Caenorhabditis elegans: one gene and its partner. The protein of the gene in region 1 interacts with the protein of each later gene in a pairwise test. Each region holds a gene or a part of one and is shown in the gene's direction. Other genes may lie near its edges. The genes, in order: C35B1.2 and F55F8.8.

Region 1 (4,958 bases):
TTGAAGTCTTTATTAGGGGTGGGCGGCAAAAGATTTTTTCCGGCAAATCGGCAAATCGGCAAAGTTCCGGAATTGAAATTTCCGGCAAAGCGGCAAACCGGCGGAATTAAAAATATTCGCCAAATAGGAAAATCGCCGGAATTGAAAATTTCCGGCAAATCGGCGAATTGCCGGAATTGAAATTTTCGGCAAATTGGCGAATGACCAGAATTGTTATTTTCCACAAATCGGCGAACTGCCGAAATTGAAATTTTCGGCAAAATGCCGGATTGAAATCTCCGACAAATCGGCAAATTGCCGGAATTAAAAATTTCTGGCAAATTGGTAAATCGGCGGAATTGTAATTTCCGGGAAATAGGCAAGTTGTCGGAATTGAAAATTTCCGGCAAAACGGCGAATTTCCGGCAAATTGGCAAGTTGCCGAAATGGAAACTTCCGGCAAATTAAAAAATTGCCGGAACTGAAAATTTCCGGCAAACCGGCAAATTGTCTGAATTTAAATTTCCGGCAAATCGGCGAATTGCCGGAATTGAAATTTCCAACAAATCGACAAACTGAACAAATAGTGGAATTGTGGCCGAAAATCAATATAAAATGCGGTCAAATCAAAGAAAGGAGGCAGAGAATCAGCAAAAAGTGTGTGTGTGCGCGTTCTGTGGCCGAATCGGAACAAATAATAGAACAGGACATTGGGGAATGGAAATTTGAGAAAAACCGGTTTTTTTAATATTAAATTTTACTTTTTTATTGTATAGAATTAGTTTTACAAAATATTAATAAATGTTAGAATAATTTTATTATTTCCAGCATACTTCAAAATGAAACTCTGGAATTTCTGCTAAAACTGTACGATTTTCAACTTTAAAAAAAGTCGGTCAAAAGGCATTTTTGATGATAAAAACTGTTGGTTTTATAGAATTTTTCAGGAGAATTAGAGAAAACACAGAAAAATGATGACGTTTTGTATATTTTGAGAGGGGTGATGACAATTCGCTGATGCAATAGAGAAAGTGGTTGTTTTTTGAAGGTTATGGTACTTTGGTCTTTGAAAATATAGATTTTTTGAATTAAAATCGTATTTTTAGGGGAAAAATGACCCAGAAAATCGGAATTTTAAGTCAAAACTTTGGTAAATCGGAGAAAAAATCATTTTTTGTTCGAAAAATTAAGTTAAAATCGACAAAAAACCTATTTTTTCCAAAAATACAAACATGTTTACGAAAATTTGGTCTAAGACATCAAAAATCAATATTTGTAATTTAGTGTTTTACGTTATTTACTCGAAAACCTCAAAATTCTGCTTTTCAGCTGAAATTTCCACTGAAAATGTATTTTTTTGAAGCAAAAACAAAGAAAATGCAATTTTTGACTGGATAAATAGAACAATCTCACAAAAACGCAATAACACCTTATAAATAATTCTAGGAACCAAAGTGTAGAAATCCAATTACTCTTTGGTGTCTTATGCTTTCCTGTTTTTGTGTCCTTTAAAGGCCCAAGGGCCCGTTTTTTCGGAAAGGCTTATTTTTTTGCATTTTTCACGATATTTGAGGTAATTGTTAGTTTTCATGCCTTTTTTGTGGAAAATTTATATTTTTTTAGTATTATTTACAGTTTCTGGATTTTTTCCGCACGTTTTAAGTGGAAAACTTGCAGAAATCGAGAAAACAATAAAAACATAAAAACAAGTGTCGTGAAATTAAATGTCGGGTACGCAAACACCGCCACGTCACAATGCACAGAATTCGGATTTTTATTTTTATTTTTCTTCGTTTTCAGACAATTTCCAGGCGTTTTTGCGGATTTCATAGCAAATTTTATTGAAAAAACCGAATTTTCGATTAAAAATGCATTATAAACTCATATTTCCGTTAGGTTAACGTAAAATTTCGCCTATAAATCGACAAAATTCGAAAAAATGTGAAAATAATTAATTTTCAGCTCGAAAAAGAAAATGTCAGAACGTCTGGAGGTTTCTATAGAAGGAGAGGATGATTTCCCGTTTGATGAGGATAATATTCGTGAGTTTTAGCCAAAAAATTTAGGGGAATTTTGATTTTTTTTTTCCGAAGATATGTTAAAAATCGCTGAAATTTCGAATTTTTCCAGAAGAACTCGACCATTTCGACATTGGAGAGGACGAGGATCCGGAGGAAGTTGCTCAGGAAGATGTAATATTAATTTATTATCGGTTTCTTCAGTTTTCCAACAAAAAGTCTATTTTTAGGCCGGCGTCTGGCAGGAAAGGGTCCCATTAACCCGTCAAAAGCGGAAACAAGTCCTCAGAAAGCCTGGAAGGAAGCGGACAGGAGAGTGAGTGGATTCTAAGCCTAAAAACTGCCTAAAAATCAATAAAATTCCAGAATAATCCATATTCCGAAGCGTCAGCCTCCACGGGCGGTCCGAGTGAAGTCATATCAACAATATGACGCGTTTGACGAGCTCGTGGAGCAAGATTTGGATGATTCTGATCCAGAAGTTATGGATGACGATGGAGGTAGATTTTCAAAGGGAAAAATGCTGAAATTCTGGAATTTTTCGCTAAAAACTGTAATTTTTCAATTTTTCAGAGCCTTCAACCTCGAAAACCTGGAGAATATTCGTCAGAAAAGATGGTTCGGGAATGCATTTCGATTGGCCAATTTTCATGGATTCGGCTGTTTCTCTCAAAGGTTTTGGCTGAAAATTGGAGAAAATCACTGAAAATTCGCTGAAAAAATCGATAAAAGTACTGGAGAACGCCCGATTTTCAGTGGAAAACGCCGAAAATCCGAGAATTTAGGTGTAAATTCGCTAAAAATTGCTGAAAATCACTGAAAATTCGCTAAAAATCTGTGATTTTCGTGTAATTTTCAGATTTTCATCTCAAAATCGCTGCTGAATATTGGCAATTTTTGAGTTAATTCCTAGGATTTTAATCTGGAAATCTTTGAAAATCCGAGATTTTTGAGAAATTTATCTAGAAATCAAAAAAATAAGTGAATTTCCTTGAAAATTTGTAAATTTTACCTAAAAATCGTTGAAAATCGGTTAGAATTCTTGAGTTTCAATGAAAAATTGCTTATAATTCTGAAAAATCCAAAAATTTCAATGAAAATTCGCTGAAAATCCGAGAATTTTAGTTCAAATAGGCTTAAAAAAACAATAAAAATTCTGAAATAATAGTTGAAAATTGCTGAAAATGACATAAAATTCAAGATTTTCAGTGGAAATTCTCTTAAAATCAGTTAATTTTTCACAAAATTCCATTATTTTTTGCTTAAAAAACTTTAAAAGTACTCAAAATTCTCACTAAAATCCAATTTTTAATGAAAATTTTACAAAAAAAATCTTTAAAAATCCAGGAAAGCTGCAAAAATTGTAATTTTTTCGGGGTTTTCACCAAATTTTTAATCGATTTTCTACATATTTCACATATTTTCGACTGGAACAGTTTCTAAAAATCCTATAAATGACCGTTTTCCAAAACGATTTGTGAATTTTTCCCCAAAAAAAGGAATTTTGGACAGAATTTCACTTGAAATTAGCTTCGAAAATTCAAAAATCGTATTAGAAACGGTCATTTAAAGGATTTTTAGAAACATTTTCCTGTCGAAAATCTGTGAAATATTTAGAAAATCGAATAAAAAATTGGTGAAAACCCCGAAAAAATTACAATTTTTGCAGCTTTCCTGGATTTTTAAAGATTTTTTTTGTAAAATTTTCATTAAAAATTGGATTTTAGTGAGAATTTTGAGTACTTTTAAAGTTTTTTAAGCAAAAAATAATGGAATTTTGTGAAAAATTAACTGATTTTAAGAGAATTTCCACTGAAAATCTTGAATTTTATGTCATTTTCAGCAATTTTCAACTATTATTTCAGAATTTTTATTGTTTTTTTAAGCCTATTTGAACTAAAATTCTCGGATTTTCAGCGAATTTTCATTGAAATTTTTGGATTTTTCAGAATTATAAGCAATTTTTCATTGAAACTCAAGAATTCTAACCGATTTTCAACGATTTTTAGGTAAAATTTACAAATTTTCAAGGAAATTCACTTATTTTTTTGATTTCTAGATAAATTTCTCAAAAATCTCGGATTTTCAGAGATTTCCAGATTTAAATCCTAGGAATTAACTCAAAAATTGCCAATATTCAGCAGCGATTTTGAGATGAAAATCTGAAAATTACACGAAAATCACAGATTTTTAGCGAATTTTCAGTGATTTTCAGCAATTTTTAGCGAATTTACACCTAAATTCTGGGATTTTCGGCGTTTCAATAACAATTGGATTTTAGTGAGAATTTTGAATAATTTTGAAGGTTTTTTAAGCAACAAATAATGGAATTTCCCGATTTTCCCCCAATTTTTAACGCAATTTCTTTCCAGACGTGGTAAATTTTATTTCAACAGACGCCTCCGAGATCCCAAAATCATTAATTTGTACGTCAATTCCACAGGAATTCACAAATACTGGAACATTTATAATTCATCTGGAAGAAGGATTATTAAAAGAAGAAATATGTAATGATGGACTCGGAACATGGAATTCTGCACAAATGTTTGTTAGAAAATATGTACTTGGAGTTGGAAGAGCCCGCCCGTTGATGACACAGAAAAATGACCATAATTTGAAGGTAGAAATGCGGAAATTTGCAAAAAATTGAAAAAAAAATTATGAGAAAAAGCTTTAAAAATAACCTAAAATCGCAAAAAAAATCCGGAAAATTGACTTAAAAATCGCTAAAAATGATTAAAAAAATTGTTCAAATTTCACACTTTTTATGCAAAATGTGTGTGCAAAAATCGTTTTAAAATTTTAGAAATTGGCTTGAAAATTGCTTAAAATTTTGAACAATTTTACTAAAAGTCGCTGTAAAAATTGCCCGAGAATGCAGAAAATTCATTAAAAATCGTAGTTTAGTGCAGAAATTGACTGAAAATTGGGTAAAAACTGTAATTTTCCAGATAGTCTGCG
Region 2 (5,019 bases), on another chromosome or scaffold:
TTAATTTCATAATAATTGATTAAGAAGCAACAATTAATTTTATATGTAAAATATAAAATATCTAAATCCAATGGTCCAAAAATATAATTGTTTTCCTCTGTCAGTTCTATCGCAAATAAATCTCTTCCATACTCTTTGTTCGTAAACTCCCTTTCAAAAAAAACAGATTTCTAAAATAAAATTGCTCTCTTTCAGTACATTCGCCCCAGTTGCATTTGCCGAGCCAGAACGATGTGAAACAAATTGTGAAGCAATTGATGAGGATCCTCCAATTCTCATGAAATCTCGCCCACATGCTCATTCTCATGGAGTACGATCAATTACATTTGTATTGGCACTGGGAATTCATTCAATTATTGAAGGTCTCGCATTTGGAGTTCAATCAGGAAATGATACGATTATTGCTTTATTCCTATCATTAATGGTTCACAAATTGATTGTCGCATTTTCTGTTGGCCTTCAATTGTTCAGAACTCATGCACATCAGATTAAATGGGTAAGGAAAGATTTACTCTCTGAAAAACTATCAAATTAAAAAAAACAACTATTTTTCATTTCTCAGGTGATCATCTCAATCTTCACACTTGCTTCAATGACTCCACTTGGTGCACTGATTGGCCTTGCAGTCACATCAGCAGCTGATAATGCCCTCTGGAAAGATTTGACGATCACGATTCTGCAAGGTCTTGCAGTCGGAACATTCATCTATGTCACTTTCTTCGAGGTTTTATATTTTTCATTTGATGAGTTAAAATTCAAACACATTTTCAGGTTCTTCTTCACGAAAGAGACAACGAGCATCCAAATCTTTTAAAACTTTTAGTGATGTTTATTGGATTTGCATTGATTGGAGCATTACGTGGATTCGAATCGAGTCATGGTCATTCTCATAGTGGCTCGACAGAACCACATTTCCATGGAAATTCATCTTTTGATGACTATGGACATTAACTATTCCAAAATAATATTGTTTTTTGATAAGTTAATCTCATCTCATAATCAATTTTCATTTCATGCGTATCACAAAATTACTCTAACAAATCCGTAACTGTATGTATTAATTTTGTGAGACGCTCGATTTCTGTAGCATACTATCACTTTTCTTCATTTTCGACATATTCACCATTCGAATCCAGTTGTTGAAAATATTATTGAATAGTAGAAAATGTATTCGCATTTGCCGGTAATCAATAATGTATTTCAAATTTTGTTGTTTTAATCTTTGCCCATTTTCAGTTTTTTCAACCATTCATTTCATTTCCTATAGTTGCGGGTAGTGGCTTTCGATTGAATTGTTTTCCTCTTCCCAATTTTTCTTCAAAATGTTAAAATTATTCCTCTTCTCTATTCCTCATAATGTTGTGCTTTGTTTTTATTTTTATTCTCATATGCCCCCTCTGGTTTTTCCGCACAAAAAATGCTTTAATTTGTCTATAAAAAATAATGCTGAGAATCAGTGAATTCTTAACTTTTCGGAATAAAATCAATGCTTCTTGAAAATGTTCACATTGTTAGATGACTAACTCCATGTTCACTTTTTAATTCTATTGTCTTCTGAAATAGGAAATGACGTGGCGAAAAATGAAAGTATCGGAAGGCGGATTATGAGGAGAAGGAATACAGTAAAAAAAGAGAAAAGTGACTTTTTGTTACGTATTCATCCTCTCTCCTTTCTACTATAAACCCTTTTTGGCACTTCACATGGCTAACCAACTAGTTTTAAATCAAACTGACTGAATGGCTATGCTATGCCAAGTCGCACTGGCTATTTTATTTTTCATCTAAATTTTTGTTTTTTTTGTTCAAATAGATACCAAAACCACAGTAAAAGCTTTTAAACTTTTGATTATGGGAAATTTTGTCTTAAACTTATACATTTCCCGGTCTCGACACGACAAATTTTAATTAAATGCAAAAAAGTGTGCGCCTTTAAAAAGTGCTGTACACCTGTTATTAATAGTACTTAATTGTTTTCAAAAATTGACATTTATTCGAATGTTCATGAAACAGGAGAGGAGTTGGGCACTACAGTACTCTTTATAGACGCAGACAATTTTGCATTAAAAAAACAACATTTTGTCGTGTTGAGACCGGCTACCGTAATTTTTGAGGCAACATTTCTCATCTGCTACCTTTTGGAAAACCTACAATATATGCAATAAGATGTTCACAAAAACTACAGATCATGATTGGAATCAATTGATTTTTAAATACTTTCAAATTTATTAGCTCGTTGAACATTAATTTTAGAACACCTAAAAATAGGCTCCGCTCTTTTTTTAAATTTTGGATTTCTAATAAATTTTTTATACTTGCTCTATTTTTTGCAATTAGACTTCTGAATGTTAGAAAAGTTTTTCAAGGATTATTGGAATTTTGGTTAAAATTTGCTAAATTAGCATAACTTCCAATTTATAACTTTTTCGCTTCGCACTGAATGCATATAATTTTGGACGCTTTGCAACTTTTAAAGAATTTTTGTATTTTTTGAAGTCCTAAAAAGACAGTTTAAATAATTTTAAAAAATAAAACCGTGATTGGAACTGCTAGAACGTTTTTCTGGTCTATTGAAATAATTTAATTAATATCCGTCCGAAAAATATTTAGAATGAGAACTACAGTTGCCTGGTATCTACTTCTACATTTTTTGAAAGTTTACGGACAATGGACAGGTAAGTGAAATAATTGAAACGTCTATGAACGAAATATTAATTGTAGAAATGGAAGTACGAAGAATGTTGGAAGACACAAATCTACGGCATTTACAAATTGAAAAAATGACAAAAGAAGCAGCGATTCGACATAATCAGGTTTTCCATTTTTGAATTTTCTTATCGTAACATAAATATTACAGATGAATCCAGACGGTCAACCATTAACTGGACGACACAATTTGGAAACAAATACAATGACATCTGTATCTATTGAATCACCAATTCCTGCTCCAATACCTCCACCACCTCTTCCAGGTCAACAAGTCATCATTCGTCCAGCTCCACCTCCGACTATTGAAGATGATCGGACGTTTTTAGCAAGTAAGTTGGTAATATATGAAATATTTGCAAACATAATCTTTTATGAAAATAAAGTAAAATTATTCAGAGATGTCGGAACAAGAATCTCTTGTGAATCAGTTAAATTCAATTGCAACACGGGAAGCTGTATCGAGAAATGGATTATTGGTTATGGGTTGGTTGCCACTTTGTTTTATTTTTTGTTCTTCTTTATGTCAACTAGCTTTAATTAAAATAATAATATTAAACTTAATTCTGATAAGTTTTTTATTTATAGAGATTCATAATATTAAACTAATTCTGGTGAAGTTTGCATGGTTACATAAAACTTGAGCCCACAAATATTGAAGGATGCTGAATTCGTTCTTTCCACGAAATAATGATACTTATAATTATTCTAAACCTGATATATATTTAGACTTAATATAAAAATTGGGAAAGGTAGAACAATATTTTGTTGAGATATAGCCTAACTTTTCTCAAGCATGTCCGAGAAACAGATTTCTAAAAGTTAAAAAATTCAACAATTTAAAGAATATTCAATTTTGTTTCGTTATCATGCCATTTTTTGCCTTTTCAGAAGGAGCTTTGCTGAATGCACTTCGTCCATTAACAATGCCATTGTTAGGAGCAGGCCCACCGATTCCAGGACATTTTGTTCCATTCCAGAGAATGCAAAGTAATTTAAACATTCTGGGAAATATTATGTTTGAGCATTGAGATTATTCTGAATTAATTCCTATTAAAAACTGTTCGTTCGTAAAAATGCGGCAATGAGGTAGCCAGGCAAGATATAGGCATTATCTAATCATTTAGACATGCAGATAAGAAGTAGATTTGAAGTAGGCGAAGGGCAGGCACATTGCTAGGAACTTGAAAATATACGAGGCATGAATGTAGGCTTTTAATAGGTAGATACGTATTTAGAGAGGTTCGATATAGGCATAATGTAAGAACATACAAGTTAGAAACGAGGAATGGACATGGGTAGACAAGAGATAGGCATATAAGCAGCTTCTAACAAGGTAGGCATAGGATATTCACGTATGTAGAAATGAGGTATTAGAAATTAGAAAAACAGGATGGAATTTTTCCACAAACTAATTTGTTTCAGGACCAATTGAACAATCACCAATTGATAACCGTGTGGAAGTTCAGTCAAGACCGCCAGCCCCACAATTACCAATGCGATTGAACAACTTAGAGACTTTTCAGTTTCAGAAAGATGATGAAGTTGCTGAAATGATTATACGAAATGAGTCAACACCACTAAATTCAAGCTGACGATTTGACAGTTGAATTCCATTTCATTGAATATCTGTACATCGTGAAAAATAGGAAATAAAGTGTTGAAACATCTTAATATTCGTTCAAAGTTTATCAAAACTAGAAATATTTTACACACGGGTTCAATAGAAAAATGAGATCATTAATGTGGTGGGAAATGTGATATTTGAGAGAAATTCCATCAGTATCTTCCAACAAAACGAGGTTCTTTCACTGATTTAGTCTCGATTTTATTTGATGAACAGCAACCTAGATAAATACAATATTTAATTGATATATTTGAAATGTGAATGTCAAAAATCTTACCAACAAAAACGGAAAGCATCAACGGAAGAAATACTAATCCATGAAGGAATCCAATTGAAATTGCGAGAAAAACTGTCTTGAAAAATGTAACAATCATATAAGCAGGCACATCAGACAATACAGAAACTGCCAAAATTGTTGACATTGCACCTGTAAATGTGGTTGTAAGACAACGACTGTCTGTAAGGATTGTGTTACAGGATAACAGGACTCTGGGGGTACTGTAAGAGAGATAAGTTTGAGTTTTTTAAAGGATGACTTAAAGATTGTTGAATGATGGAATATTCTGGGGTACGGTTGGAGTACTGTAGGTTTAATGTAGTTTTGAAAATATGAATTTTGAGTTTTGAAGTAAAAGTGGGTTGGGCTAATGTAGGAGTACTGTAGTCTTGAGAAATTTTGGAAACCCTTT

The links.
Region 2: the proteins of C35B1.2 (region 1) and F55F8.8 interact in a two-hybrid assay, tested with the Caenorhabditis elegans proteins (one large-scale study listed by BioGRID).

Annotation. Positions count from the first base shown.
Region 1 is NC_003282.8:4,084,271-4,089,228, forward strand, and holds the start of C35B1.2 (SWIM-type domain-containing protein), read left to right. Parts: upstream 1-1,941; 5' UTR 1,942-1,954; coding exon 1,955-2,021; intron 2,022-2,109; coding exon 2,110-2,171; intron 2,172-2,227; coding exon 2,228-2,313; intron 2,314-2,363; coding exon 2,364-2,497; intron 2,498-2,570; coding exon 2,571-2,672; intron 2,673-4,369; coding exon 4,370-4,617; intron 4,618-4,948; coding exon 4,949-4,958.
Region 2 is NC_003279.8:5,666,427-5,671,445, reverse strand, and holds F55F8.8 (uncharacterized protein), read left to right. Parts: upstream 1-1,708; 5' UTR 1,709-2,608; coding exon 2,609-2,672; intron 2,673-2,718; coding exon 2,719-2,810; intron 2,811-2,854; coding exon 2,855-3,035; intron 3,036-3,102; coding exon 3,103-3,189; intron 3,190-3,594; coding exon 3,595-3,693; intron 3,694-4,128; coding exon 4,129-4,298; 3' UTR 4,299-4,377; downstream 4,378-5,019. Other genes in the region: zipt-2.4 (Zinc transporter ZIP3), read left to right, coding at 196-496, 563-724, 772-951; ptr-10 (SSD domain-containing protein), read right to left, coding at 4,483-4,550, 4,608-4,757.